4 linked regions of the Styela clava genome follow. The protein of the gene in region 4 purifies or fractionates together with the protein of the main gene of each other region. This does not show direct contact. Links are inferred from orthologs where the notes say so. Each region holds a gene or a part of one and is shown on either strand. Other genes may lie near its edges.

Region 1 (7,547 bases), on a different chromosome or scaffold from region 4:
TTTTAACACATTATAAACATTCAGACATATTAATACATTTTATAGTAAAAAGATTATGGTATTCTTTATATTTGTTATGACTAGAAAAAAATATTTTGAAATGTCAATATTTAGCAATTCAAAAAATTTAATTCTATTAATCAAATCTTCATGTAATACATTTTTAAGATCATTATATTCAAAACAAGCATAATATACAAATTAATAAGACTCTTAAAAAAAATTCCTAAAAAAGTCAACTCATACTTTTGTACAGCAATTGATGATTCAATTTTAGCTTGATTTTTCACATCGGTTGTTTCTTGATCATTCTTGTTATGGTCTAAAATATAAGACATCGATGTTATTTCAAATTCAACTTTTAAACTCTAAAACAATTTAAAAAAATAGAAACCACCTTCAGATTCTTCATTTATATTGATGTCTTTCACTGCTGTCGTATCAGTCTCAACGTGTGCTTGAGGTACCTGTAAATTTTTTAATTCATATTTATTAAATACACTCATAAACATAAAAGATGAGAATAAATGTGGTAGCGTTTTATTAAAATACCTAAACCAATAACATGACTTTGATAAAAATTGTAGTTCAACATTTCATTTTCTAAAGAGCAACAGTAATTTGATAATAAAAGAAACATATTGAAGCCTAGCATAACATCCGAGTGACCGAGAGTGTCAGGCCCCAACCATATGCCCAGGATTTATTGAATCGTGTAGGTAAGGCCGAATCCTAAGAATTCTGGGCCTAAGTAATAGTAAAGGGAAATAGAAGAACTTTAAATATTAGGAGTTCTTGGTTTGAAATATTGGTGTGTAGTGTATGCATCATCATCTATTAATTTTAGAGCAATTGGTAATTCGTCCAAATTTTGAAGTTAATGTTAGTCAATCTTATTAGAACAAAATTTAAATGTTGAATTGTAGAATCAATTTCCCTCAAGCCTAACAAACTAGAATTATCGAAGAAGCTTCAGTAACAACCTGAGAAACAGCTTCTAATTGTTTTGAGATTTCTTCTGGTAATACCCATGTAACTTCATTAGTCTCAGTATTCCAGTAGTATGGGTGTTGAGTGTTCTCATCAATGCATTGTTGCCAGCTTCCATAGGAAACTAAATACAAAATTAACAACTAAGGTACCGCCAAGAATAGGCAATGAATAGTAAAAGTGACCCCTATGATAAAGGTATGACTCAGTTGTACGTCAATGTTATTGATGTTGATATGCCCAATTAAAGGCAATTGTTGTTACAGATAAATATTGTATTCAAGCCCTCATCTTTATGAACTGTGACATGAATTTATCAAAATTAAGACACAACTAAAAAAAATTACAAATTTGGATGAAAACTAACTATTGTAATATTTAATATAAATCTCATTTGTATTCGATCGTTTCACCCACTCATGTGGCGCACAATGTGGCGCATTGTGCCAAGCACTAGGAATACGCTTGCCATTGCACCTCTGATTACCATGCTTGGGTTCGCAGGTTCGAATCCTGTGGGGAATAACAATGTGCAAGAGGATTGCGGGACTCCCCACCACTTGCGAGAAGTCACATAACTATAACTACTGATCGGTTACGACTTCCTCAACCATCAAGTCCAAGCATCTGAGAACTAATGGTGGACAACAGACTGTGATTCGACATATGATTAAGCTGTCTTATCCTCTTTTCCCTCTCTGTGATAAATATGTAAATCCTATCTTATTCTATAAATCCTATACTACCTAATGAACAAATTAATTAGATAATCAATTCAATTTGAAGAGGCAACAATTTTTGAAAACACTAAAATTATATTTACTTTGCTGCGACTGCACTGCTTGTGTATCTTGTTCCTTTGTGTCACCTGCTTCAAGCTCATCAATTTCCTTCAAAAAATCCGCAACTTTAGAATCAAGATTATGGATTGCCTGTGTTAAATTATTTTGTACGAGAGATGGTGAGTCAATCTTCTTTTCATCATTGTCACCATGAGAACCACGCAAACCGAGTCCTTCATTTTCAGGTACATCTAAAGAAGAAATTAAAATCATCTATCATGTTCTATCTGTATCATAATATAATTTAAATGTTTGTGCTTTGTTTTCTATTTTAAGACCAGGGACAGAAAAGAAAATAGCACACAAGCATTGCTTGCGGGTGGCCTCAAGCAAAAACAGAAAGAGGAATGCGCAATCACAGAAATACTCACCCAAGATCAAAATAACCCTTGATTTTATGCTGCAGAAAAATAGTGACATGCATGTTCTGCAAGAGACAGCGTTAGTTGTCAATCAATGAACTGTCAGACTGCTGGACTGTATACACGGAATATCAAAATGGACTCGAAGCGATCAGTGTTTAATTTTTTGCATTGTTTATATAAGTTATATACGGTATCTGTAAATACCCATAAGTACTGGTATAAACTTATGCTGCTCAGAAATACTGAAATATCTGAGTGCCAATTCTGCAATTACTGAATTACGATACCAGGATACAGAATTAATGGATTTAGGATAGGATTTTACATATTTATCCCGGGGGAGAGGAAAGACCATAAGACGGCATATCCATATGGCGAACCACGGCCTCTCGTCCGGTTACCATTCCAAGTCGGGTATGGGATTAGTTTTTTTTTTTTTTTTGGAAGCATGGACTTGGTCTGTTGGTAGTGGAGGAAGCCGTAACCGACCAGCGGTTACGTGAACCACCCAACGACGGCGAGGAGTCCAGCAATCCTCTCGCACATAACCATCCCTGCATGGGATTCGAACCTGCGAACCCATGCAGAGTAATTAGAGGTGCGGTGACGAGCGTATTCCTAACGCTTAGCCCGTTGAGCCACACCACCGCGCCTATCGTACGGTAGGCTACCGTACCGCAATGCTACCGTACCGGTACCGGTACCCTTATATTCAATCTCAGGATACACAACTGCATGAATAAAATCTAACACAAAACTACAAATAAGATTATCCGAATACAGAAATATGTGAATTCTATCCTATTCCAGAATTCATGAAGCTATGTTAAAGTAATTTCAAAATTTGCACGGTAACACCGAACATTACCATACATTAATTAATTCGAAAATTACTCACTTTTTTGATAAAGTGTGCTCCTGTTCAGAACACCTCCTCCAATTCGTAACGCAGGTTTTCTCCTGCTCATGTTATTGATCCAATGTACCGTATTAAATCCCCGACATAAAACGTCGGTTCCTACTACAGCACTGACAGTAATATCACAGAAGCGGGCTAATGTCAGATCATGGTTGTACTTGAAATATAGTTAGCTCAATGCTGTTCCGCTACGCCTGAATGCGACTGCACTACGTCATCGTTTTCCTATATCTTGGAACGCAGAGGAGCGGCCTCTGTCTGATATTTATGTGTAATTTTTGATTGATTTTATGAGCAGAAACAACTAGAAAGATGCTCTAAGCACTTGCATAGTCATTTTGTCAATCTTGACCAAACTCATGGAATTATTTTAGGATATGGCGTCATATCTGTGCCCGCACTAGGAAGCATTAGCATGGTGATTGCAGTTAGAGGGTGGATATTTTAAGTCTCTAACATTATAGTTCAATAATAGAAATTTACTTCTACTCGGGGCCTACAGAAGTGTCGATACTTTAAGTTTCAAACGTATCAAGTCTGTCGACAATTCTAGCATACTGAACTGCAGGGCTGATGCGCCAGATAAGATTTAATAAATATAAATATAAAAATCCTATTATGCCCAAACGTCTATCATGAGTATGATCGAGTGGAGCAATGAAACAGATAATTTTTTCCACTGGTAGGCTTACAGTAAAGTTTCTATAGTATGAAATATTATTGACCGAGAGTCAGAATTTTGATTGCTAAATTACCCTTGTACCATATTATTTCTGTATCTAAATAATATGAATCCAGATTGTTTTCTTTGAAATTGTTCCGATACTAAAAGGGCTTCAGTCGCAGCAAATATCAGACGCGTGTTATTTGTCATATACAATGGAAAAAGAAAGTCAATTTTGCTCGTGTGTTCATCACCTAAATTTCTGTTTTTCATTTAGCATACTTTTACTTAAATTTTGCGAAGGCCAGTAAAAATCCCAACAAAATTCGGTTTAGTATAGTAGCGACATATGTTGTTACTAGTCAATACTTCAGAAAATTTGTAATTCACTGTGGAAACTAATGTTACAACGAATTGGCAGAAGAACAAATCATATCCTATGTGGCTCGTCTCTCAAGGTACGTATGTCATCATACACACTCTTGTCACATATACATCATCATTCCCCGCTGGGATACCGTACGTACATATCTCAAGAGACGACATCCTAACTTTTGTACTTGTAGGGTTCGTGCACGAGAGAACCCCCAATTCAGAACGCCATCAATATTTGTTAAACATAACCCGTTTAAAATCAGTTTTTAAAAATTTTTCAATTTTTCCATGATATCCTCAGTGTATTTTCTGATTTTACCAGTAAAACAAGAGAGTTATGCTCAAATATATAGACACAAAAGCCAAAACGAAGAGGCAAACAAAAAACATTGCCGGTGGTGTTGAAATGTCTTTGATCAATAAATAGTAGCATATGCTACCCATCTTTCTCTCATCACCAAATGTGAAGAGTTATGGGTGGAAGTACCTGTTCGTATTGAAAAGTCAACTTTAATTATTATGGGTGTAGTATATCTCCATCCTGGTTTTGATCAATTGAAATTTTATAATGCCTCAGCAATACTTTGTACAATTTGGCATTTAACAACAAAAATATAGAATATTAGGTGACGCTAACATTAATTTATTGAGCTCCCCCTCCGTTTTATTGACATGCGTTAATGGTACGTTACGTTAGGGGTACGTTGGGACATGGGGCACAGTGGAAAATCAGCTATCACACTGATACTATATCCGCAATCCTGTCCGCGGCTCAATGTTCCAATCCGCCCTTCGGTGAGTTACAACGTCCCCGCGAACGGACAACGGACGGGTAGAGCGGCGCAAGCTATGGGGTGAAATTGGTTTTGGGAGGTTGAAAAAAAAATTTCACCGTTCCAGTTTTTTCTTTTTTTTAGTTTAGCCTTTCCAACGAGACAAACCATCGTCTGATATTCTTTAGCGGCAGTCCACTGTAAAATATTCCTAACGTTAGCGAGTGGCTGTGCCTTCCGAATTTTGCCGTGGGATGGTCTGAAAATATTTGTTTCCTATGGGGAACAATGGACCGGGGTTCAGTGGGACATGCTCTACAGGGCACAATTCGACAGTGTTTGATACAATAAGTGCTTAGAGACTTAGAGATGCGTTATATTTTGTGTAATATAATGGTTTCTTTCGACCCATGGCCCAATATGGAATATATTCGAGAATCAATAATATTTCCAGATTTAGATTCGAGGAAGGAAATAATCAAATTTTTTTGCAAAATGTTTTGTCAAAAAATCTGAACTATTTCAGTTGAACATTGATTTTAAAAATATTAAATCTTCAAATCCGAAGTCTCCCCGTACTTTAGACGATTATGCTGATTAATTGCTTATTTTTAAGAACATACTTCGTTGAATTGTGACAGACTGACCCATTGTGCCCCAGGGTCTGTCCGATTGTGCCCCACAAGTGGGGTACAGTGGGACACTTGACAGACGTTTTTCAAAGCATTTTGGTGGTAAGATGTATGTCGCAAGGGAATTTCTTTGTTGCTGAATAAAAACTACATTTACCCCTCTATGCATTAGTCCCGCAAACTTAAGAGAATATGCAGAACTAACGGCTCAAAATATGCAAAAGAAAAAAAGTGTCCCAACCTTCCCCACTTTCCCCTATGTTCTATTATATCCGAAACGATAATTTTGCCAATTGTGTGGCAGAATTGTATGATCGACCATCACCCTGTATTTTGTCAATTCCAACTCAATCTTGCATTACCTCATTATATCGATAAAATAAAAATAAAAAGGATATGAGATACTTTGTTGTGGACGAATTTGTTAGGAAAGCCCAATAATTTTTCTATTCATATGAGATACCCAGTAGTATTTGTGCTGGAAATTTAAATTCATATTCTGATTATTTTGGCTCTGAAGTTCTAGATGGCTCGAAAAAAAGCGCCAACTTAGAAAAAACCTTGAATCCCTCCTGGTATTCTACGATCAACCAGTCTAAGAGATAAATTGAACAAAATTCACTTTAGTAATGGTACTGAACAACAAAATCATTTTTGTAAGTGATACGCTAACAAATTATGTCATTTGAAAGATCCAAGGAAACGTTTTTGCTGAATGTTATAAAAAAGTATAAATAACTCCTAAAAGACCTGGAATACTGTTAATTCGCTAATAAATTCGGAATCTGACAAACAGATCCCCTAAAGACTAAAAACAATCCTAATTCAGGGATGATTGTGCGTGATAGTAGGGAAATGTCACCACTATTCAATAGTTACTTCTCACAGATTGGGCAAAATTTGTCCACGGCATTCCAAATGTTAATGATAACGAACATCTTGGAAACATGGGTACTCCAAATATATCATCTATGTTTATCGAAGAGTGCTCAGTGACCGAAATAAAGAATATCGTAAATTCTCAAAAACGATTGAAGCTCCGAGGTATGACCATATACTTATCTTCTCAAACTTTTCAGTAGTACAATAAGTCATGTTCCCTGCGAACTATTTATTTATCCTATGTGCTTTGAAGGGTTCCCAGATCATCCTAAAGTGGCAAAGGTTGTTCCGGTGCACAAGGCTGCGTTTCTTGATAAAGACTTTATTATAAATTGTCATCATTCTACAAACATGCAATCATATTATTAGTAAATATTATGAAATTGCAGATAAGGGATTGGTAGGCTGTATATCAAAAATGTGTCGCTGACTGGATGACTCACCGAGTCTTTCGCGACCCCTCATCAATTGCTAGATTTAATGTCTTTCGTTTTTTTGTTATTTTTATGTGTGTTTATTATTTTGCATTGTTTCTTGCACGATGAAAATAAATATCTGAATCTGAATCTAGATCTAAAAGAGCGTTCGATACGGTTGATCATATTATATATATATATGTATATGAGCAAACTAAAACGTTGGGGAGTTTGTGGCATATGCGTAATGAATAAATTGTCGTCAACCTTCATCTGTAGGCGTCCCGCCCTGTTCAGTGCTTGGCCCAACACTGCTTCTAGTCTATATCAACAATGTAGTAAGTTCCACCTCAGCTTTTATAAAACTCTTCGCTGATAATACTAGCACAACCTCCATAACTTCGAATGTAACTCAAATATCCAGCCTAGTTGTACAAATTAGGAGAGTCTCGCAGTTTGGGTGAAATCTAATAAACTCAAGTAATGTTAAATAATTATCTCACTGATAAGATAAACAATTCTTCACCCATCCTCAATTTTACATTCAATGGCACCAAATTAAAGATTCATGATTTTTTTTTAAATATATTGGGGTGGTCTATTTATCGATAATATAATATAAAGGTGGGATCATCACATCAACTAAATTGGAGTTGTCAAGGGCCGTAGGAATCACGACAAGGCTAAAT
Region 2 (8,258 bases), on a different chromosome or scaffold from region 4:
TTAGATATTTAAAATTAAGACAGATAAAAATATTCACATCGCAAGTAAATAGACATATATATATTACAATTTCGAATCGGTTAAAGTCAACAAACTTTGGAGTAAGGCAGCAGTAGGCCCCTACCCATATTTAAGAATGCAGCAGCAAAGAAAATTTAACTGCGAACTATAATGAAATGACCAAATGTGTTTGGGAACGACAAATTTAATTATTTCGACTTGAGATAAATTTATGAAATAGTAAAACGTGCGTCGTTTAAATAAAAATATTCCTGTTGCATGTCTGATGGGGAAAATTGAGCCTCGCGCCATCTCAATTTCAGCTTGGCTTTTCCGAGCTCCCAGTGATGCACGATTTATCACCCATTTCCTATCGAAGTCTTTCCTGGGCATCCTGGCTGCCGTCTGTCTTCTCGAAGGACAATGCTTGCTCCCCCTGGAGCGTCTGACACAGTTCGCCGCAGAGCATTACCTTTTTCCACTAGAGCTTTGTATTCTCCCCCCTATCTCATTTCTCAAATTACGTTACTGGCCCTTCTTATTAGCATCGATGAACTTTTTCTGCCACTTCTTTAGCCTGCTAATACTATCTTACGACAAATAGCTACAAGTGTTGTTAAATCTTTCCCTTCTTTCCTGATCGGGATATGCTCGCCATTTTTTGAGTTCACCACCTACCTTCAGACCTTGCTTGAGTTGGGCATCACATTTACACATCAGCACAAGATAACACACATTCGCCCCGTACTTTCACTCAAGAGTGCTGCATATATGCCCAAAGTTTTATTTATTGTAGTCTTCTTGTCGGCTTCTTCCAACCAAATGCTGATTCTTGGATTGCCCCGTGCGCGAAATTATCGGCACCTAAGCGGTCCAAGACACCACATGTCCGACTCCGACGTAAGATCATTGAGGTGTATATAACCTCAATGCGTGAGATCGATAGTAACTTTACATTGGATAGGATTTACATATTTATCCCGGGGAGAGGAAAGCCGATAAGACGGCTCAATCATATGGCGAACCACGGCCTCTCGTCTGGTTACCCAGTCCAGGTCGGGTATGGGATTAGTTAGCCAGTTATTTGTTTTCGGAAGGCGTAACCTATCAGCGGTTACGTGAACCACCCTACGGCGGCGAGGAGTCCAGCAATCCTCTTGCACATGATCATCCCCGCATGAGATTCGAACCTGCGATCCCACGAAGGCTAATCAGATGCGGTGGCGAGCGTATTCCTAACGCTTAGCACGATGTGCCACACTGCCGAGCCACCGTAGACCGCCGCCTCAGAACATCTGGTTCTACGCGGAAAATGTTACTGCTTTCTTGAACTCTTTGTCAAAAATTCAATCTATTTTGTTAAAAATTCTTTAATTAAATAATTGAAAAATATACATTTTATTATAAAATTTAACAATTAGAGGTATGGTGATCATCAGAATACCGAAAACAATTCATCTAACATTTCTCCGTGTAGTTTCGAATTTTCTATAAGTGGTGACGACATTCTAGTCTCAAAGCAGTGCAGCGAACTTCAATCGTCATGGAATGTTTCGTGTCGTTCTTTATTTCTGTATTTTTGTAATATTGGGGTCGTACCCGGTTTCTCATTTTCCGCAATGGAAATAGTTCTGTCAACAATAGTAGAATAACGCAGTGTTTATTTCATAAATATAGATCTATCAGTGACTGCCGGGGTGATTTATTGAATTTTTAACAGACAGACACCGGTCTAACGTTACGGCTGTACGGTGACTCAAGTTTTAACATTGCCTTTGTACAGTCTGATAGTACCGGTACAGTAGTCAGGTAGTAGTAATAAAAAAATGAAACAATCTCTTTAACTATAGTTATCAGTTCGAATATTCGTATCAGGTATAGCGTTTTGAAATACTGGAATACAGAAGTAGGGTGGTGTAGCCAGTCCGCGGACGATTTCATTCAAACCGCTATAAAACAAAAACCAATATTTCTAACCGTTAATTTTTCACCGTAGGTGCATTGGCATGTATTCTACGCGCTAAACCTCGAATTAACTTTCTACGACCAGGGGTTAGAAATATTGGTTTTTGTTTTATAGCGGTTTGAATGAAATCGTCCGCAGACTGGCTACACCACCCTATTTGCGACCGAACGACCAGTGTGCGATCACAAATTTCAAGCTTTGAACATCGTTTCTGCTGCGTCGAGACTAGAGCATGCGCAGCCATGCGTGAAAAAATTGGGCTTCTAATTGCATTTCTGACCGTCATATATTTTAAGAACACGGTCATTTCGAACAAAACTCGTCAAATTATATACAAAGCACCACATCACAGCAATCAAACAGACAAACACACGGTGGTCGAAAATTGGTCGACAAAGATATTATCGACGTATTCGAAATGTGCACCTCCCTATTCCCCCTCCCAATCAAACAGACAAAAACACGGTGGTCGCAAATTGGTCGACAAAGATATTATTGACCTATTTGAAATGTGCACCCCCCTATTCCCCCTCCTTTAAATGTAGAAACGCAAATATTTAAAAGATGGTTAAATAAAACACAACTCTACCCCCTTGCCAAGTTTCATTTTTTATCTCTTATATTTGTATGGATTTTCAAGTTTCATTAATGGGACAATGGGTAGTTGGCGACATGAAAAAATGGTCTGTTTTTATCGTCGGTCAGGTTTTCGGTCGTAGCTTTTCTGTTTGTGGCCGTATTTTAGTGTAATATCGCAGAGACAAGTGGACAATAATGCGTGACGAATATCGTCGCGGTTCTTTAATTTTTTCGGCATCAATTAGATCGATGAAGTTGATGGCCGCAAATAGGTCGTGGCCGCGAAGTGGGTAAGCCACCCTAAACTTCTGAACTTGGTTCTGTGATTTTACATAATTCCGAAACCTGTCAACATTTAGTCTACATCTTTTTATTATTAAACCTGTGTAAACCCCATTCACTAGACCGTCTGGGCTTCCAAACTGAACAAACTCGCACTGCACAAAAATGAAAAGAAAGTGCAATCTGAAAACGTCACAATTGGATTTCTTGAAATTTTTTTTCTGTAGCATTCGAGAGTTTATAGCAAAAAACACATGTGGTGGCCGCGATTAGTTTAGATTATTATCGAGACAAGCATGGCACAATTCCACGCATCTGCTGTCGTGCCAGATGCCCTCATTTAAGAGACAAATACAGTTTTTTATTTTATTATGAAATTTCCATATCTTATCACTTCTTTCTGTACAGACATTAAATGGTTTAATTATTATAGCTACTTATTCTTAATAGAAAAACTTGAAATGTCTCAACAATCTGAAGTCGATGAACTTTTTGATGTCAAAAATGCGTTCTATCTTGGTTTGTATCAACAATGTATCAATGAGGCACAAAAGGCTAAAGTGAGTAGCCAAGTAAAAAAGAATGAGCGAGATGTATTTATGTATCGTGCATACATTGCTCAGAAAAAGTTTGGAGTCGTTTTAGATGAAATTTCGAGTCTGGGATCATCGGAACTTCAAGCTGTTAAACTTCTCGCTCAGTATTTAGCTGACTCATCAAACAAGGACCAAGTTTTGAAAGAAGTTGAAAATAAACTTTCTGGGAATATTGACATTGAAAACACCGTTTTACCACTAATTGCTGCAAGTATATATTCACACGAAGAAAACTTTGACTCCGCCTTGCGAATCCTTCACAGTGCTGAATCATTGGAGTGCTCTGCTCTTTCGATTCAAATTTACATTGCGATAAACAGGCTCGATCTTGCAAAAAAAGAACTCAAACGAATGCAAGAAACTGATGAAGATTCAACCTTGACTCAACTTGCACAGGCGTGGTTTAATATCTCTGTAGGAGGGGAAAAACTACAAGATGCTTATTATATTTTTCAAGAAATGGCAGACAAGAATCAAAGTAGCACGTTACTGCTCAATGGTCAAGCTGTGTGCTTCATAGCTCAAGGAAAATGGGACGAAGCGGAAGGTGTTTTACAGCAAGCAATGGATAAAGACAGCAACTGTGCTGAAACTCTAATAAATATGATAGTGCTTTCGCAACAGATTGGAAAACCACCTGAAGTTACCAATCGTTATCTGTCGCAACTGAAAGATTCTCATGGGAAGCACAAATTTGTCAAAGATTTCAATACAAAAGAAAATGACTTTGATCGTTTGGCAATGCAATATGCTCCTGCTTGATAGTTCAATCTGATAAGACATTGCAATAATACAAAAATAGAAAATTAGAAAATATATTTAAATATTTCAAATATCTTGATGTCAGGCAAAGTTTACACCTCATGATTTTCATGTTCCGAGCAGATTTACTAAGGAAAAAGTTCTGAAATAATTCCTTTTGGTGTGGGTTATTGAATGTATATGCCCATTTTTTAGATAATTTTTGAAATTTGATATTAAAGAAGTGCATATATTTACCATTTACTAATCTTGGGAATTAATCACTATTATACTATTTAAATTGAGATGTGTTGGCTCTATGTAGCACTGATGATGAAAAATAACGCTTTTAATTTGCATTATTTTTTGATTTTCAATCATTTTTTTTGGATAAAAAAGTTAGGTGTGTCATCCTAGTATTTTGTGCCTCGATCAGAGTATGCTCACTAAGCAAGCCAATGATGAATAGACCTGGTTAGTCTAGAAGCCCACCATCTTGTAATATGTTGGCTTTAGATGTGCTAAAATATTCTAGCCATTCTTTAATTTGGAGTTGAGACCTTACTATTTGTGTGTGAATGCTTTGCCAAAGCCTCATTGAGAGCAATGCTATAAAATATCACATAAAAAGTTTAAATTTTTTTAAATTAAAATATGAAATGACTGGACTTGATTTGGTAGTAGCCTAAGTAATGTATTTGCATTATTTCATGATATGGATGATGGGTGCTTATCATATCTGTATATTTGTTGCCTGGTATATATAATAACATGTATAATATTGTCTTTAGAATACATGGAATAAATCGAATACCATTTATACCGATTGATTTTTGTATTGGGTAATAGAAACTGAATTTAGCATCGATATGTCAGCGATCCACTATAAGTTCTCAAGCAGCAATGATTACAAGAATGTTACGTTTGATGGAATCAACATTTCACTCCAAGATTGTAAGAAAGCAATAATGTTAAAAGAAAAATTGAAGATGACGGAAGTTGATTTGCTAATTACGAATGCTCAGTCTCTACAAGGTAAGCTTGACTCTTTATACTTAAATTTTATTCACATTGTGCGAATTCTAATGATAAATTACCTAATGATAGAACTAAAATGGAAAATTATGCTGATAAAAGCTATTTGCAAACATGTCATCGAAATTTGGTATTTGAGTGTTTACTTCTAACCTGCATTGGTGAGTTATAAATATATAAGAGCTTCGACCAATTGTGGTGAGCTGATGGTTTCCAACTTGCTCATGTGCGTCATTCCGAAGTATTTGAGTGTTTAATTCTGATCTGACTTAGTGAGTGTGGGTGCAATGGATTAAATGTGATGAGCCAGTGGTACTTGACGACTTTTTGTTTGAATTAAATTCGACATTCAATTAATAACCTTTAACAAATGATAATTTAATGCAGTGATGTAGTTGCATGATATGTTTGTGAGGTAGCAAAATTATAAAATATTAAAATTTTTATTCAAAATTTTTAAAACTGATATACTTCCGAAGTATGTGTTATAATTTTGAGTTGTTGATGTGATGATAAAATACAAATACAGTTATGAAATTTTGCAAAACATTTTTAATATTTCACTGATAACATCTTATTGAATATTCTAAATGTCTATATAAATGTGTCATATACAGTAATATTATCTAGTAGGCTACATTGGGTATGTAGAATATTTCATATATTCAATTTTATTTCATTTGAATAATCTCTTTTACCTCTACTTAAAATTTTACAGTAATTTAATGATGCCTTTGTTACTTCCTGGAAACTGTTGTCAGGTATCCATCAGCAAATCATCGATGTACAGTATATATATATATGTAAAATTCATGTATTTTTAGATTATAAAGATGAGTCAGCGTTGATACCAAAGAACACTGCATTGCTCGTTAGAAGAATTCCATTAGGTGCTGTACCTGACAAAACAAAGGTTTATGTTGTGTAAGTGTCAACTAACATTACTTACCGGTATATACATATTTTCTTATGAATGAATAAATATTGTTCCTATCTAGTGGTAATTTTTTTAAGTAGCAAGTTTAGTTTGTTTAGTATTGCTATTATGGAGTATAAAATTCATTAGCATGTGATATAGTTTCAACCTCACGTTTTTCAGTTATTGCAATAGATAGTAATTTAGTTTTTGGTCAATGGCATGCCAACACTATCACAAACAGGTGGTGGCATTAGTTTTCTTATAAGAGGTAATTTGTATGCAGCTTTTTGATTTCTTAAGTTTCAGGAATGCGTGCTGCATTTATTATATGATTTAGTCAAATTAAGAATAATCAATGCAATTTCTCATGCCTCAAGGATAATTATATGAATTAAAAAAACAAACAGTTATAAATCAATTATGTAATATGGTCCTTATTTAAATATTAATTTATTGTTTTCAGGAAGAAGAATGAGACTGCTGCATCTTCTAAATCCGTACGTAATTTATTGTTGTGTGAAAAACACTTATTACTTTTGATACCTTTCTATACAGCATTGGCAAAGCAACAGTTATTGAAATTTTAATTTACAAAAATTATAAAAAAGTTTTTCTTGTTTTTCTTATAAAGTTATGGTTAAGTTACAGTGAAATCTGTGCTTTGCTGATGCAGTATATTCTCGCTTTTCTTGAACACTTCTATTTCTACACAGTGTTGTATTTTTTGATATATTTTTTATTACTATTTATATATTTTTTTCTATTTCTTCTATTAAACTGTGATAATGGTTCTATGCAACAATGCAAAATTTTGGTATCATGCAATTTTAATGTTGTGTTTTTTCTTTTATTATTGTTATTTTATTACTAAATATGCATTGGTTAACTTAAATCTATACACGCTTCGCGAAAAAACAAGGACAGGCTAGTTTTGAGTTTGATACAGAATGGACTTGAACTGAACATATCAGAGTTAGGTTAGATAGATCGGTTGCGCAAGATATAAGAAGCTGTCGCAAAATATAAGAACGTCTTATTCATCATGTGCCTGACTTCTACATGCTCCTGAAAGACTGGTGATAAGCTATTGCTAATATGCAAATATGCCGAAAATAAATCAATGAAACTGATTTATATCATCTGATTTGCATTGACACTATGCTCAAAAGAGATACACTGAAACAATGTTGTGATTGTTCCGATTTTAATTCATTTTATTCACAATTTACGGTTACATTTAACTTTTTTCTGCAGCATTATGTTTGATTGTTGTACAGTTCCATGATTCTGAATTGTTTGATTAAAATTTCTATTATAGTTCTAGCGAGCTTACAATTTGTGTGGTAGCATCACTAGCATGCATAGACAATTATGAATGAATCAAACACAATACAATACCAGTAGCACCAATGTTGAAAACTAATTCACAGTACTTTTGAACTCACTTTTTCTGCCATGCTAATTTGAAAAAACATTAATTGAGATGTCCCATACATGAATGAATATACCTTTTCTAGAATCTTGTATTTTTAATTTGATTATGGCAGGAGTTTATTCCATGATTTGACAAATCTTTCCATGAGGATGAATGTTTCTAAATAGGACAATGATTGTCACACAAAATTTAGTCTTCAGAAAGTTTTAAAAAAATGTAGTTCCATAGATTCCCCTGGCAATCTATTTTAAATGTCTACTGTATGTGTCTATCAATATCTGTTCTGTTTGTTATTTATAGAACAGCACTAACATTTCCTGTTTTGTTCATATGTGCGTTGTATATATAAATGGAAAGAAACGTTTCAAAACCGTAATGCTTTATCCACATCTATCTTAGTGATTGACAAACTCAAAATTCTTTTTCATCTTGTCTGATTTCAAAGTTATTTGCAAACTTATTTTGTAGTAAAACTAGTTAGTATTTATGTTAGTAGTAATTATCTTTATTCATTAGATTATTTTATGTTGACTATATGACTATTGACTTAGAAACTATGTGGTATATTTCGATTGAAATTTGGGCTTCCAGAGCAACTTCAATTCCTCTCATGTCAGCGTTAAGTTATGGAGATTATTTTCAAGTACAGTATACTGTTTCAAATACTTTTGTTAGACATACGGTGATAGGTGGTTTAATACCTGT
Region 3 (7,980 bases), on a different chromosome or scaffold from region 4:
CACAAATGAAAATTTGATAATTAAAAGCAAAACGATGAAACAAGCTTATGTTCACAAATCACAATCATGTTTGATCCCTGCATCACCTCTGATATCTCGCTGATTAGGCAATGTTATTTGTGGAAGTAAACAAGGAAGTCCATTCTCATTGAATGATTCACTCTATAATATATCTCAACTAGGAATCTCAAGTATGGAGCTGGATGAAATCAAAAATAATGATGAACCTAATAATGAACTCAGATGAAAGATGATGTCAGATAATCACACTCAGATGATCTACTGAAAAAGATCATTGGATTGAAATCGAAAATTATGTCAAAATTTTAAAAAAAAACTTTTTTTGGCTTCCCCAAACAAAACTAAGTTTATTTTATTTCGTGTATTTATTTAATTAATATACCTGTCATCATCTCTTCGTCTCCTTCCATCTCTATCTCTAGATCGAGATCTTCGCATGGGCCTGTCTCTACTACGGGAGCGATGACGTGACCTGAAAAATTAAATTTGTTTAATTTTCGCAATGTATTCTTTATATCCTTTCCTTAGATGAGCAGTACTTGGGAATTTTGATTGATTAAATTGAAGACATGGCCATTTATTGAATCAAAGTTAGTGGATCTGTTCGATGTTAGCCACCAATATGAAGGATACACACATGTCCCATAAAACTAGACAGTCATTTGCACTTATTTTGGACAATTTTTCATGTCAACTAAAAAATGAAAATAAAGTGTGAAGAAAAAAAAGAATAATCAGTTACCGGTAATATTCGTCCAAAATAATATTAGCAAGTACATAATTACTGTTTATATAAAATAATGTGACAATTCCTATTGAAAGAATTGGTCACAACATAATAAAATGTGACGTCAATCTGTCGTGAATTTAAATAGATAGGCTAGGGATTGATGACCGAGTGGTTGTTAAAGTGCTAGACCTAACTATGTTGATTCTAATACACTCATAGTGGTTCAAATTCCATTACCACCCCTTCACCCAGAGTATAATAAATTGGATAGGTGATGCCGAATTAAGATTCCAAAAATAGTAGCTCATTACATATTATACAACATCAGTATATGATTGTACAAGGCTTGTTCGGAGCAAAAAATATGAATAAGCGTCGAAAAAACAAAAATTTAAATTATTTAGATATTGAAGTACCATGACATTGTTTTTAATATCCTTAATTCGGAGCTCCCGAAGTATGTGTACCTAAATGGCGCACAACCTGACAGGTTATTAATGAATGACAGGGAACTATTTTATTGCTCTAACCTTGACCTTCTTCTTGATGACGAATGGCTAGGTCTACTTGATGACGAATGTTGATAATCTCTTTTATCCCTCGATCTACTACGCGATCTTCTGCGAGTTTCACTAAAATAAAAAGTGAGATAAATGTTTATTTTTTTTTTGTTTTGGCAAGTTCAACACACTATTTATATGTATATGAATGCATACATCTTATAAATGGGAAACTTTGAAGTAAAAATGTTCATGGAAATGGTTACAGAGAAACTGTCAGAAATAGAATCATAGCTTATTAAAATGAGGCTTATTTGGAACTGTTACCAGTAGATATTTTCCTGTTTATAAATTTCTTGTGCCTAGGATGGGTTTGAGGGGGAAGTTTACCAATTTTGGAATAATTTCTGACTTACCCCGAGCGATGTAATCTATCTCTATCTGAGTGATGAGTATGAGAACGTCTTGCATAAGAATCATCTCTTCTTTCAAGCAAACGATCATTTCTAGAGTCACGACTCTCTTCATAATGCCTGACAAAAATATGTACACTCATGCGAATTGCGAATCTTGAATACAGAAGAAATGCGAAGTAATAAAGTAACACATACCCTGATGCAAAGTTGTCATAACTGTACTAGATAAAAATCACAAGATACTATACTATACGCAGAAACTCATACTATACTAATAAGCTTAAATCAAGTAATAATTTCCAAACAAATCAATTCATACCTGGCTCTGGAATGTTCTGTTTCTCTTGCATCATTAGAACTGTGTTTGGTAGGTGAGACAACTTGTTTCTCAACCCTTTTAATCGAAGGTGGCGATTTTGATTTCTTCTCTTTTTTCTCCTTTTTCTTTTTATCTTTTTTATCTTTCTTTTTCTTCTTTTTTGTTGGTTTAGTAGAAGTTTTCTCATCATCATCATCTTGTATTGCTTCCTCTTCACCATTTGCTTCTATTTCTACCAAAAACAACAATTTTGCTTTAAAAGAGAATCCTATGTTTTTCATCATTTTGCTTGTGATTCATGAAATACTACAAGAAAATGTCAATTGCGCTGTGTATATTAACTAAAAACACAGATTATTCATTTACAACACGCCTACAAATTCATGGATCACTGAACGGATGTTTGATGGTCGAATGTATGGTAAGATGGTCATCGAAAAGACAGGTTTGAACACTGCACGACAAATGTTCAATCACAATAAAACATCTAACCAAAACAGTGTAAAAAATTTAGCAGAGTGCTCTACGGCAAGACTTCAATATTTATTGTAATATTTATAACAAACACATTATTTATCTCAGAAACGAGGATGTCTGGCATGGCGGAGAGTTGCAAGACCATGCCATGTTTCTTGCGTTAATAATATAAATCAATTGCAGCATGTGCAAAACTTCATGTGACCAAAATCCTCTCATGTGAACTGTTTTTTGCTAGAAACTATTGAATACTACGGTAGAATTTGTTTTCGTTCTGTAAATCAAATTATTTTATGGCATTTTAGAATGCTTGTCCTTTCGGTATATTGAGCAGTACTGATTTGCGATGATATGGAGCCACCAGACTGTCTCGTAAAGGAGAAGTGTGATCTACTGATAAAAAGTTGATCAAAACATTAAATTACTCTACTGCAAAATGTAATTTACCTGCTCCATCTGCTTGAACATCATCAGAAACCTCTCCTTCTTCTACATTATTCATGAGAGCAGCCTGTAATAAAGCTTTTTGCTGCTCTAAATCTGATAATGCTCCATCAAAACCAGTCGTTGTAGATGCATTCTGTTCAGTCTTTCCATTTTCTTCAATAATTTCATCAGAACTTTTTGTTTTTCTTCTCTTTTTACTCGATTGTTCATCATCGCTTGCTTCCGATGATGATTCTCGCTTACGGGAAGAATGTTTCTTTGCTTTTTTATGCTTATGTTTATGCTTTTTTGATTTTAAAGATTTTTCATCATCGCTGATTTCTATAACACCATCAACAGGGTCTTCATGGTCTAAAGCTCTCTTTTTGTGTTTTTTCTTATGTTTATGACTTTTCTTCACCTTTGGAGCTATTTCTTCTGCTAAAGAATCAGAATCACTACTTTCTTTCATTTTTGATTTCTGCGTCTTCATGTCTATTTATTGACACCAGTACCAGTATGACATTCGAAGTTAAATATGAACTCAATTCTGAAAATTAAGAGAGAGATTTTATTGGCACAAACAAAATCAACAGTGACGTAGTCTCGGAAGTTAGCAAAAAATGATCTACGCGAGATCGACATAACTTCTGACGCAGCGTGAAATATTTTTTATGGAATTTATAAATCAGAATTTTCAGTTTTTTCCCAAATCTCGTACAACATCTTGCGATCGCTGTAATAAATTACATAAATTGATATCGCCCTCTGTCGAATGAAGGTCTTTTGACGAGGATCGCTTAATAAGTAGGAGCGCCGCTCCTACAAATCCTCTCAAGTGACACACATCTCATTCTGTCCAATCGACAGATTGCTGGATTATATTATCACCCACTATACTATGTCTGTGCAATTTGCCTCAAAATTTATCTTGTTAATCTGTAGCGATTTTTTTAATGTCTTTATATAAGGCCTGCACAACATACGGCCCGCGGGCCGCATGAGGCCCGTTAGATACTTCTGTGCGGCCCACAGGTGATTTAGAAACACGCCACTTCTCGTGTCTAACAATCAAAGCCGGCATTGTTATGCAAGCGCGCCGCTACCCCGATCATATTCGAAATCGAGAGATTTATGTTTTGCAATAGTTTCAATAAATATCAGACTTTGTGTGAAACTGGTGTGCCCTGCGTGACCTCTAAAATTCCTCTCTCGTCCCCTCGCCCCCCAATTTGGGAAACCCTGATTTCGATATCTCAGTATCCAGACTGAATCACGCTCAAAACAATATCGGTATACAATCTCACACCCATTAGTGCATATTAGCAACCTATTAATAACCCATTATTTTTTACTAGCAGTTTATGAAACTGAAGTTTCTCTTTTGATTCGAATTTAGAACTTGAAAAACAATTCCTTCATTTATGAATGGTGCAGAAATTCTCGCACAAAAAATATTGCTATTTACTGTAAAATTTCAAATAAATCGGATCAGATTTTGTAGAAAAATGTAATTTAACAGTCGAAAATGTACAACAGAGGAAGATCTATTGCTACTAAATGGATTGTTTGTCTAGCCTACAATGGAAATATCTAATAATGGTATTTATGACTAAATAAATTGTCATACAGATATTTGGGACGATTTTAAAAAACTGAACCTGAATATAATTTTTATCTGCAATCAGTTTATACTGCAACACGCAATACCTAATTCTAATAAAAAAGAAATATTGAAAATGAAGGGTGAGTTTTCAAGGTAGATGAACCACTAAATACATACCGTAATTGCCATCTCATATGCAAAAATACTGCACCTTGTTTTTACTCAAGAAAATAAGATTCCTCATATTTTAAAGCTCCCCAGTAATGAAAGTGTTTCATTAAATTTAACTGTTTCACAATATCATTTTGATTTGCAGTTCATCTTGTGAAATATGTATGTGGCAAAGTTTGCGGCCCGCCGGGCCTTCAGATTTATGCTTGCGGCCCTCGTGATAATTTGAGTTGTGCAGGCCTGCTTTATATATCTGTATATATGCTGCCTTAGGTCTTTCAACATTTACACAAGATGTTTTTGTGTATTCCACAACTAGCAGACTTGAAGTGGGGCTAGTTCACTAAACGCCATCAAGATCCCGATATATGAGAGAGCTCGCTGGCGTTAGCGAGTTCGTTATCGTTGGCAGAGATGCCATTTCAGGCGATTGTAGCTTTTCCTTGGCAAGCTCTATGACAGCGTAGTGACATAATTTTTGGATGATGCAACCAGGTGTGGGTTAGGAATAACATATGCAAATATTATGTTCCTGCCACGCCAACTAGAAGTACAGTGTTTAGTGAACATGCACCCCTGAATTAATCGATTCCACACACAGACACAATTGAAATTCTGCCATTTACTCAAAAATATATATTAATGTCAAATTCGGCCAATGCCCCACTTGATAAAATGTGCAACTTGTCTGGCATTTTATTTAGCTTTTAACGCTTAACTTAAATGTAACTAATATATTTTATTTTTCTTTATATGGAAATTTAATGTTGTTTTTGGACACACCCTGACACCTGAGATATGTTAAACTATATCCTGATATCTGAAGCACTTTTTATTCATGTTTATTGAAATTTATATTGCAGTATTTAGTGGTAACTGTCTATACGATGGCCGCATGGTCGTATCGTTGCCACCCAGTCTGTACCGAGAACTATTTCAGTATTTGGCTTTCTATTAATTATGTTTTTGTTGTGTCTGTGTGTATATGTTTGCTGGTGGACAAAACAAATACAGAAATAAACTCTCTCCCTCCCTCCGAGTTTCACGAACTAATCTAATCTAATGTAAGTTTTTTTGTAATTTACAAATACTGAAATAGGGGGAACATGATAGAAACAGATTATCAGCATCAGGACTATAGAAATCAACTTGATCCAAATTCTTGAGCAGAAAGAGCGAAAAAGATTTTTTTATAGACTAAGTTAACTTAAATTAGTGATTACTGGATTAGGCAGCTGGTATAGTCAGATAGTAGTAAAGGTAGCGGCAGTTCATGGATAGAAACCTGTATTACTGTATCGTATTAATCTAAACGTTAATCAACCGACTGCTTGTCAACCCTAACCTGTCCTAATCCTATATTTTGGCATTCTTTAAGGAAAGGGATTTATTTAGGCTATTTTTGAAATTTTCCAAAGGGGGTGCATACCGGTAAGTATAACCAAAGTTACCCTAGCAGACATCTCTCAGCAGACATCTCTCTCGTTTTTGAACGCCCCGATCACTGTTGCCAGAACTCAGATTTCAATCGAGCGATGCGAGAGTTTACGAAAAAGGCATCGATGCAAAATCAGCTGATGCTTTATGCGTTGCCAGATTAATCATAAAAACTGTGAATAATTGCCAAAAAATCACAGTTCTCCCCAAAATATAAGTGTCTCACAAATATATCCGCTTAGTATAAGAAAGACAAGTATAAGTGTTTATAATGGGAAGTAAACACAACGAGTTTGACAAATATTGGATAGGTGGAAGAGATACTTACTATCGTTTAAACCTGTCCCAGTCGTCAATTTTTAATAAAATTGGTAAAAAGACCTACTTTGCCTCCAAAAAGATGTGTCTTACAATCATAACTCTCCATTTATACATAAACAACAGTAGTACATTTAATAAAGTGTTTATACAACGAGTTTCAAAAAGTTTGTATGGGGGGAAGATATTTCTATTCTCGTTTAAACATGACCCGCTTGTCAATTTATGATAGAAATGGCAAAAAGACCTCTTTGCTCCAAAAAAAGAGTGTCTTGTAATTACGGTCCCCACATTTACAAAAGACCAGTAGTAGTACATATAATAAAGTGTTAATACTGCGAGTTTGAAAAAGTTTGTATGGGGGAAGATATTTTTATTATCGCTTAAACATGGCCCGATAGTCAATTTTTGAAAAAAAATGGCAAAAGGAACTAGTTTTCCCCAAAAAATGAGTGTCTTGCAATTACGGGCCCCTCATTTACACAAGACCAGTAGTAGTACATATTATAAAGTGTTAATACAGCGAGTTTGAAAAAGTTTGTATGGGGGGAAGATATTTTTATTATCGCATAAACATGGCCCGATAGTCAATTTATGATAGAAATGGCAAAAAGACCTCTTTTGCACCAAAAAATGAGTGTCTTGCAGTTATGGGCCCCACATTTACAAAACACCAGTAGTAGTACATATAATAAAGTGTTAATACAGCGAGTTTGAAAAAGTTTGTATGGGGGGAAGATATTTTTATTATCGCATAAACATGGCCCGATAGTCAATTTATGAGAAAAATGGCCAAAATACCTCTTTTGCCCCAAAAAATGAGTGTCTTGCAGTTATGGGCCCCACATTTACAAAACACCAGTAGTAGTACATATAATAAAGTGTTAATACAGCGAGTTTGAAAAAGTTTGTATGGGGGGAAGATATTTTTATTATCGCATAAACATGGCCCGATAGTCAATTTATGAGAAAAATGGCAAAAAGACCTCTTTTGCCCCAAAAAATGAGTGTCTTGCAGTTATGGGCCCCACATTTACAAAACACCAGTAGTAGTACATATAATAAAGTGTTAATACTGCGAGTTTGAAAAAGTTTGTATGGGGGGAAGATATTTTTATTATCGCTTAAACATGGCCCGATAGTCAATTTTTGAAAAAAAATGGCAAAAGGAACTAGTTTTCCCCAAAAAATGAGTGTCTTGCAATTACGGGCCCCTCATTTACACAAGACCAGTAGTAGTACATATTATAAAGTGTTAATACAGCGAGTTTGAAAAAGTTTGTATGGGGGGAAGATATTTTTATTATCGCATAAACATGGCCCGATAGTCAATTTATGATAGAAATGGCAAAAAGACCTCTTTTGCACCAAAAAATGAGTGTCTTGCAGTTATGGGCCCCACATTTACAAAACACCAGTAGTAGTACATATAATAAAGTGTTAATACAGCGAGTTTGAAAAAGTTTGTATGGGGGGAAGATATTTTTATTATCGCATAAACATGGCCCGATAGTCAATTTATGAGAAAAATGGCCAAAATACCTCTTTTGCCCCAAAAA
Region 4 (8,296 bases):
TTCTATCATACACTTAAATATAATAAATCATCCCTCCCCTCAACTCAAAAGGAAGTTGTAATGCAATTGTTTCTTTAAACTGTTTCATATCCCTAGCATCTGATATAATTGCGGGAGAGTCGCATACAAACATTGCTGAGATTTTGCTGCATATCAGATCAATTCATAGAGAATAAGATCAATGATGTTGGAATCTGGAACCTTGGAAAAAATGAAACCAGTGAGTGATATATATCTGTTTATATACTGCAACAATGACAATGTTCAGTACATTTCATCTCTCTTTCAATGTTTCACACAGGTTCACCACACAGTATAATACATCTGATAGCAGGTATCTCCAAACTCAGACAATCATGGTGGATTCGTCACCAAATAATTGGATTGACATCGTGCTATCTCAGCAAGAACCATTTAAACAAAGGTCATTTGTGTATTATCGCGATCAATTCAGTTTTGCACGTTTTCTTGCAATTGCATCCTCGACTGCCCTTAATTGTTCAAGTAATTCAACTCTCCTATTAGATGGTGGCTTCTTGGTTTGACCTGAAAGTTCAGAAGCAGGGCGTTTCCGATCTTTAGCAATACCTGGTTTATCAATGATTGTCATTTTAACGTCTTTTCGGCCAGGTTTAGATGGAACTGCTACCTTACCTTTTTGAGCAGCAACCTTGGGAACAGTGGGAGGTTTGTTACCACCTGCTGATCCAGTAGACTTGGCAGATTTTTTTGATTTTGTTTTATCTCCATCAGAATCTGAAGAAGATGAACCAGAAGATGAAGTATAACTAGAAGATGAACTGCCGCTACTTCCAGAATCAGAGCCAGAACCGCTTTTGTTTTTACCTCTAGATGGTGATGGAGACGCTGAACTATCCGACCGAGAAAACTCACTACTACTTGAGGATTTTCTCTGTTTCTTGGGCAATGCTTTATCTTTTTTAGCAACAATAGGCTTAATGGTAAGATTAGTAGGTACAGGAAGGGATGCATTGTTGGCAGCATTAGAAAAGTTTTTGGCAACATCAGGTGGAGCCTTGGCCTGTGGAATAATTTGTTTGTCTTTGCTTGACTTAATTTGTGTTACTGGTTTCGTACCAGTGGTATTTTTACCTACAATTTGTGGGGCTTTCTTTTGTGCACCAACAGCGGCATTGCGTTGTTTAGCGGAGGCTAGAATTTTTTTCTTCGACTTTACACCTTTCGAAGGTGCTGGAGATCTACTTGAATGACTGCTATACGAGCTGGAATGTGAGGAACCCGATGATCTTGATGATGATCTGCTGCTTCCTGAAGATGACCTCGATGAATATGATGAATGAGAGGATGAACGGGAAGAAGAACCTGAACTTGACCCTGATGATGATGAAGAAGAATCTTTATTCTTATTTCTTCCTCTAGCTTGAGGCCGGGCACGAGCCCATGGATCCACCCATTGATCACTTCTTACATTAGGGGCCCCGTTTTCAGCTAACTTGAATTCATCTATTTGGAACTTTTCATCTTTGGTCTGGTCACGAGGCGCTTCCCTGCGATCATCATGCAACGGCAAATGCTGGTCTGGTCTTTGCATATCTTTATCAGGACGTCTATCTCGATTTCCATCTCTCTGCTCATCCACGCGATGAATAAATCCTGAATCTTTTGGATGACGATCTTTGCCATAGATGGGTTGATGTGGTGACATTCTCCTCATGTCTGGTGGATAATGGCCAGGTGGTGGTAACCTGTGAGGTGAAGGGGGCCTTCTTTCGTGAGATTTTGGATGTAAAAGATGCTCTGGAGGGGGAAGTCTGTGGTCTTTCCCAGGTGGGTGACGAATTGGGGGTGGTGGACCCCCACGCTGTCTTTCACGATGCATTCTCGCTTGACGACGCATTTCTTCAGGTGTTGGTACAGCATATTCATCCGCTTCAATTTCCTGAAATGGATCGAATCCTTTGTTTGCTGGTCCAAGAGGTTTATGATCTACAAATTCCATATCACGATCCTCATTCAAAGCCAGATTTAGAGATAACACCTCACGTTTTTGAACAAAGTCAGGCTCCTGTACTTTGCGCTGCAAAGCTCTCTTTTTTAATTCCTTTGCATGTCTCAAACCTTTTTCCCAAGCAGTTTCAGCAACTGGAGGGGGCATAAAAGGTGGAGGTTCATTTTCCCATGGTGATCTGTATCCTTGGGGTTGTTGATGAAATTCTGGAATGTCCCTTTGGGTTTGCCTATTGCGTTCATTATCACTGAACATATTATAATTACCTCTGTCATTTACTCCAGGGTGGAGATATCGACAACGGTCACCCCAAGTACAGTTCCCCATTAAAAAAAATCTACAAGGTCTTTTCTGTTCTTGAGGGACATCTTGTGGACCATCTCTAGTCTCTCCTTCTTCAAAATCTTCTCCATCACTTTTAAGTTCACCATCGCTATCACTATCAACTTCACCATCAGATCTTTCTTTTACGGCACGATCAATTACACGAAACGCATCAGTTGACAAATCTGTGTTTTTTATTCTAATATCAGTGTCATCCTCATCATAGTCCAATTGTTCAAGATCATCCGGTCTATTATCATCTATTCCATACCCTCTTGGATCATCATTTACTGATTCTGAACGTTTTATTCCATCACCAGCCGATGTATTTTCTGGTTTCGATTCAATATTTGTTCTAGCAGTTTCATTGATTGCAATATTGTTATTTGTTGTTAAATCATCAGGAACATTATCTTTTTCATCATTTGAATCATCTAGTTCACCCTCTTCAGTTTCAGTAGTGTCCTTAACCATGACCGCACCATCCAAATTCTGTCCATCACTTTCCACTTTAATCGTGTTGTCGATTGGTTTAGATGTTTGATCAGTATCATATGTCATCTTACTAGTTTGATTATCATTATCCGATTTAATTTCATCCTTTACATCAGAAATATCTTGTTCCAATGACCTGCTTGGTTCATCTTTAATTTCAGATAAATTTTCATTTAATTTAGCAACAAAATCAGGTTCTGTTTTCACTGTATCAACATTAGTTTCACTGGAAATGTTAACATTATCTTTCTCATTTGTTTCACTGTTTTTATTAGGTAATCCAGCTTCCACAGGTTCCAGTGATTGATCCCCACTTTCTAGTTTTTCCTCAACATTACTTTCAGTTAACTCACTATCATCATCATTAGAAATAATGGAGGGATTGGCAGATTTATCAGTGATTATTTCACCTTCTTCCATATCACAGGTATAACTGCACAATGTGACAATGTCAGATTTTTAAGAATATCAAGTCCTGCTATATATAACTAAACAATATCAATGTAAAAAATATGAGTTAATTTTATAAATTAAAAACCCAGCAAAAATGATTAGCATTTGTCAAATTAGAGACAACTAAGCTCATCAGTGGGAATACACAGCCATGTTCATCCATAAAAATTTAAGCTCTTAGATAGGGCTGGGAATTTTAGTGAAAATACTTTAACCGGGTAAAATTAACCGGTTAATCGCAGCGTGGAGTTTGACGTAAAAAGATAAAAGTTTAAGGATTGTCACGTCACAATGGCCCCAGAACAAATGTACAATTTTTTTTATTTTACGCGGTGGCGAGGTGTTTTTTTTGACAATGGCAAAAAATATTGTAAATTTAAAGCGTTCGTCACTACTTCTCTAGAATGTCAATATGCTAATATCCCTGCGGCAGAATGCACATTAAATAGACACTCTTGCAACAAAATCGTGAACATTATAAACAACAACTTTTTTCATAATCAGCAAGACTAGTACTTCAATTATTTCCCTACATTTTCATGGTGCTCACCATATAGTGATATCCTTTTGAATTGTACGTCACAGGAAATAAATTTGTGAAAAATCTTACCACTTCATGGCAGCTCCTGCCACGAAATAACCGCGGCAGCTCTCGTCATGATTTCATAGCGCTATTCAGTAATCCGTATTAACAGGATATTCACAAATTGATGTACCAGATTTTAATTGATCATGTGGAATTATATCTACTTAAACCCTACCCCAAATCCATCAAAACTGTATCCATAAGAAAAACGTTCCAACTTACCCAATATTTGTCACCACCTGTTCTTACGGCCCACCTGCCATGGTTACGGCAGCAAAATTTTACATGCAATTGGTTTGGTTTTCAATTTGCTGCCTCGGTAACGCAGCTCGTCATTGGTTTGTGGCAGCTAAAAAGTCAGTCGCCATAGGTTTGGCCGTAGCGGCCATGGTATGGAAATACCGTCATGGTTTTGCGGCAGCTGCAGACGCCACAGAATACCTAAAACTGCACTTGCGTAATAGAGCCCTTCAAACTATACAAACTGCCATCCAAGACGGGCAAACGAGCACCCGAAATTGAACAGTTATCGGCACCAATGCCATTTCGGGCGATTGTACGTATATTCAGATATTAGGCAAGCTCTATGACGTGATTGTGATGTCGTACCGGTAGTGACGTAATTTTTGGATGGCGCAGTCAGATGGGAGTTAGGATTGACATATCAAAAAAATTTTATGCTACGCCCACTAGAAGTATGTTTGGTATGCCTAAACTTGTTTCTGGGGTCTAGCGCAAAACCCCTTTTGGCATGGAAAATAAGTTCAAAACATACAAATTTTCCATCACATACCTGCATACCGGTAGGATTTAGGATCACATAATTATGATGCACAAGTGCCGCCATTATTCACTGGTCATATCAGTCATTCTGTACGGTACCGTACCGGTACCTTAGTTGCAGTAATGCAAATTCATCAACTCAAAAGTCCGAAAATGTTTTGCTTTTCTAGTTTCACTGCAGTACCGGTACCGTACGGTACAGTACTGTTTTATCGTACCCTATATCTAGCTCTACATCTACGATATTTTAGTATTCAGGTCACAAGCTCAGGTACCGTACTGCAGCGTGTAGACGCAGGCCCAGTACCGGTACCGTACCGATAACCCTTACCGGTACCTTGTTACTCCCACCCTTTCTGTATTTTGTACGGTACCGTATCTCAAATTGTCGTCGCCATTCTCGCTAAGACCTTAATAAATATTTTTTTTTTTTTGATAAGAATAGTGACGGGGTGAACAAAATAGATACTGTATTGAATTTTGAACTCGTATATTTTATAACTCCATATATTACGATATAATGCACCTCATGCATTCATGAGGTTTCCAATATCTGGACATGCGAAAAAGCAAGTGCGCCAAGCTTAGTACGACGTCAAAGTGTGTGTGTGTGTGTGTGTGTGTGATAGGGGTCGTAAAGTGCTTACAGCTCAATCAAAGCTTTTTGCACCAGGTCGTGATAGGCTATTTATTTATCTAGGGGAAATTATTTAAAATAATTTCTTTGTTGCTATTAAATGGGTCTACCAGTAGATTCGACAAATTTTAGCACATGAAATAAAATTTTACAATCTGTTAGTAAATATTGAAGCCGAAATGGTACATCATATTCGGCACATAATTTTAGTAAATTGGATCGTTGATTGTTGAAACGTCTGCAGAACAGAATTAAATGAGCAACGGTTTCTTTTACGTGACAAAAAGAGCATAGTCCGTCTTGATGACATCCCAGTTTTTGTAAATGGCTATTTAATCGACAATGTCCCGTCTGTAAACGAAAGAGCATTATTTCGTACTTCCGGTGTAAGTTTGAATATTGAATTATGGGTAGTTCTGGGTGAAACATTTTAAAATGATTTGTATCTTCACTTTGTATATATTCGGTATCCCATTTGCGATGACAAACATCAGACAACAAAGATTTAGCTTCATTTTCTTCAATGTCTATACAAGCAGCAGAGTTTGGAGAAATGGTAGCTTGCTTTGCTAGTAAATCAACACGTTCGTTTCCCAGAATGTCCTTATGCCCGGGGATCCATAAAAAGGTGACTCGTTTCCCCATAGCGATAGTTTGAAAATATGAAGATTTGATGTCAACGACGAATTCATTAGAGGAATCCGTGCAGGCTTCAATAGATTGTAATGCACTTTGGCAATCTGATAAAATAACGGTTTCGTATGCATTGCATTGATCGTTGACCCATTTCAGCGATTGTAGGATTGCATTTAGTTCTGCATTATATGAAGAGCTCAGTTGAGGTAAGGAGTAGCTGTGTTCGACCGATCTCGATGGTACGAAAAAAGCGGATCCACAGCCATTTTCATTTTTTTGATCCGTCTGTGAAAATTATTGAATAGTTTGGATAGTAATGTTCGAGATGTTCCGTCAAAGTCAAACGTACTACATCGCGAGAAACATCTTTTTTCAGAGTTTCAGCTAGGGTAAGATCAACATATGGGCAATCATAGTTCCAGTATGGTAACGATGATGTTATTCTTGGTTTTATTTTAAATTGTTGGAATATTGAGGATTTCGTGAGCATATTGAATGACTTAAATGTGACGGAGTCTGGATATATCTCTTGCCACGAGTCTTTAATTATGGAATGAGCAGGATGATCAATTATGCTGTATGATAATAGATGACATCTATAAGTTAGGCATTTCAGAAGATGTCGGATGTGTAGTGGCATTTCTTCAGATGCCGCTTGCAAAGATTTGATGCTGGAACTTGACATTGAGCCACAACATATCCTTAGACATGATTTTTGAATTTTCATCATTGGATCGAGCCATGTTCGTGGGGCAAAAAAATATGCTTCAAATCCGTATTCAATCAATGAACGAATGAGTGTCCTATATAGTATGAGTAATGGACCTTTGGCAGATCCCCAAGTATTTCCTGAAAGTAAACGTAGTAAATTTATTCTTTTGATACACTTTGTCTGAATATATTCAATATGCTTTTTATAATTAAGAAGCGGGTCGAATATAACAGTGGTTCCCAACCGCTCGTCCGCGGACCGGTGCCGGTCCGTGAAGCATTTTTGCCGGTCCGCGGGAAAATTCATTTTGTTGTTTTTCTACCGTCTCAATCGCTTCACCGAAGTCGAAAAGACGAAGTTACGTTGGTTTATTACGCAATTTCTCTTCCGTCGTCATATAGCTGTTTGATGCGTGTGGGATGGCCCGGCTACGTCTTAGCGCCGAGTAATCACACTTTTGGGTTTTTCGGTTTCGATTCATATCGACAGCGCTCCGTCAAATCTCGCAAGATTCAGAAAACTGGAAATCAGCATGCGTGATTTTTCGTTCTGCATGCTCCAAATAAAAGGTTATGAATATTTCCTTGTTTAAACCAGAAAACTGTCAAGAACAGCATAATATTCCAGAGCTTCACCGTGACACCCAGTAAAATATAAACTTGTTGCGACCCTGCAGGTGGTCACGAGAAGCATAACGAAACCGGGGCCCGCTGGGATATATTCCGGGTGATGCACAGCAGGATTTTTAGCCTGGTGCTAAGTTAGGAACGACTTTATCATTGTAAAACAAATTCATTTTGTTTTGGGCGTCGATCAACTGCAGAGGGATTGGATTGATATGATGAAGCCGATGAAACCTCTACTTCACAGTCCAGATTTATAAAAGAATCATTGTCACAATTCATTCTTGAGCTCTCTTGATAACGAATACCCATTGCTGAGTAACCGAGCAACCAAACAGTTGTTCGAATTTCCAACCAGTTACTTTTAGCATTAATTAAAACGAAGCGAATAAATTGACTGCGAGTGGATGCAGAGCTACGCGTTGCAAATCCTTTTTTTGATGCATCGTTTGCAATCCTGTATTGAAAACGAAACAGTTCTCGCTGGAGTCAATTGGGTTTGTAGTACATGATTTGGCATGTACATGTTTTTTTTATGTGAGATGTGTGCCTTTTTTACGCATAATGCAGCACTGCATTTTGTTACGCAAATATATGCTATTATTTTATGTTACACCCATTTCAATTATTGGCCGGCACATTATTTGATAATTTTTCCTCATGTGAAATGTTTTTAGTTGTATCTTTTTTTTTTTTTCTAAAAGCATAGTAATTGCCCGACATCACGCAAATAAATGTTATTATTTCCTGTTCCACACATTTCAATTTTTGCCGGTCCGCGTGTACATTTTATTTAATTTTACCGGTCCGCCAGGGTAGAAAGGTTGGGAACCATTGGAATATAACACCTAGATATTTGTAATGCATTGACCTTGTTAGTGAGTCCGTACCAATATTTAGACTTAGATGAGGTATTTTTCGTTTCCGTGTAAAAAGAATAAATGTAGATTTAGATATTCGGAAACCCCAGAGTCCGCACCATTTGTGGATTGTATTCAATGACTATTGTATTCTGGGTACAATACATTCAATATTCAAGTCGGTTTCCCAAAATGCA

The links.
Region 1: the proteins of uncharacterized protein LOC120346921 (region 4) and uncharacterized protein LOC120334230 purify together in Homo sapiens (affinity purification with mass spectrometry; 3 studies listed by BioGRID and IntAct, counting the BioPlex papers as one, with this or other methods). This does not show direct contact. The link is inferred for Styela clava from reciprocal best matches to the Homo sapiens genes ZC3H18 and FNBP4.
Region 2: the proteins of uncharacterized protein LOC120346921 (region 4) and uncharacterized protein LOC120331661 purify together in Homo sapiens (affinity purification with mass spectrometry; 3 studies listed by BioGRID and IntAct, counting the BioPlex papers as one, with this or other methods). This does not show direct contact. The link is inferred for Styela clava from reciprocal best matches to the Homo sapiens genes ZC3H18 and RBBP6.
Region 3: the proteins of uncharacterized protein LOC120346921 (region 4) and serine/threonine-protein kinase PRP4 homolog purify together in Homo sapiens (co-immunoprecipitation; 4 studies listed by BioGRID and IntAct, counting the BioPlex papers as one, with this or other methods). This does not show direct contact. The link is inferred for Styela clava from reciprocal best matches to the Homo sapiens genes ZC3H18 and PRP4K.

Annotation. Positions count from the first base shown.
Region 1 is NC_135264.1:7,026,423-7,033,969, forward strand, and holds the start of uncharacterized protein LOC120334230, read right to left. Parts: upstream 3,278-7,547; 5' UTR 3,166-3,277; coding exon 3,096-3,165; intron 2,024-3,095; coding exon 1,814-2,023; intron 1,115-1,813; coding exon 984-1,114; intron 468-983; coding exon 398-467; intron 323-397; coding exon 247-322; intron 1-246.
Region 2 is NC_135255.1:12,391,703-12,399,960, forward strand, and holds the start of uncharacterized protein LOC120331661, read left to right. Parts: upstream 1-5,028; 5' UTR 5,029-5,033; coding exon 5,034-5,199; intron 5,200-6,023; coding exon 6,024-6,123; intron 6,124-6,581; coding exon 6,582-6,615; intron 6,616-8,258. Other genes in the region: coatomer subunit epsilon-like, read left to right, coding at 3,289-4,185. UniProt on the Homo sapiens protein: E3 ubiquitin-protein ligase which promotes ubiquitination of YBX1, leading to its degradation by the proteasome.
Region 3 is NC_135256.1:9,398,069-9,406,048, forward strand, and holds the start of serine/threonine-protein kinase PRP4 homolog, read right to left. Parts: upstream 3,439-7,980; 5' UTR 3,383-3,438; coding exon 2,911-3,382; intron 2,219-2,910; coding exon 1,987-2,218; intron 1,785-1,986; coding exon 1,668-1,784; intron 1,384-1,667; coding exon 1,282-1,383; intron 494-1,281; coding exon 404-493; intron 1-403. UniProt on the Homo sapiens protein: Serine/threonine kinase involved in spliceosomal assembly as well as mitosis and signaling regulation. Connects chromatin mediated regulation of transcription and pre-mRNA splicing.
Region 4 is NC_135260.1:18,937,130-18,945,425, reverse strand, and holds the start of uncharacterized protein LOC120346921, read right to left. Parts: upstream 3,314-8,296; 5' UTR 3,230-3,313; coding exon 446-3,229; 3' UTR 1-445.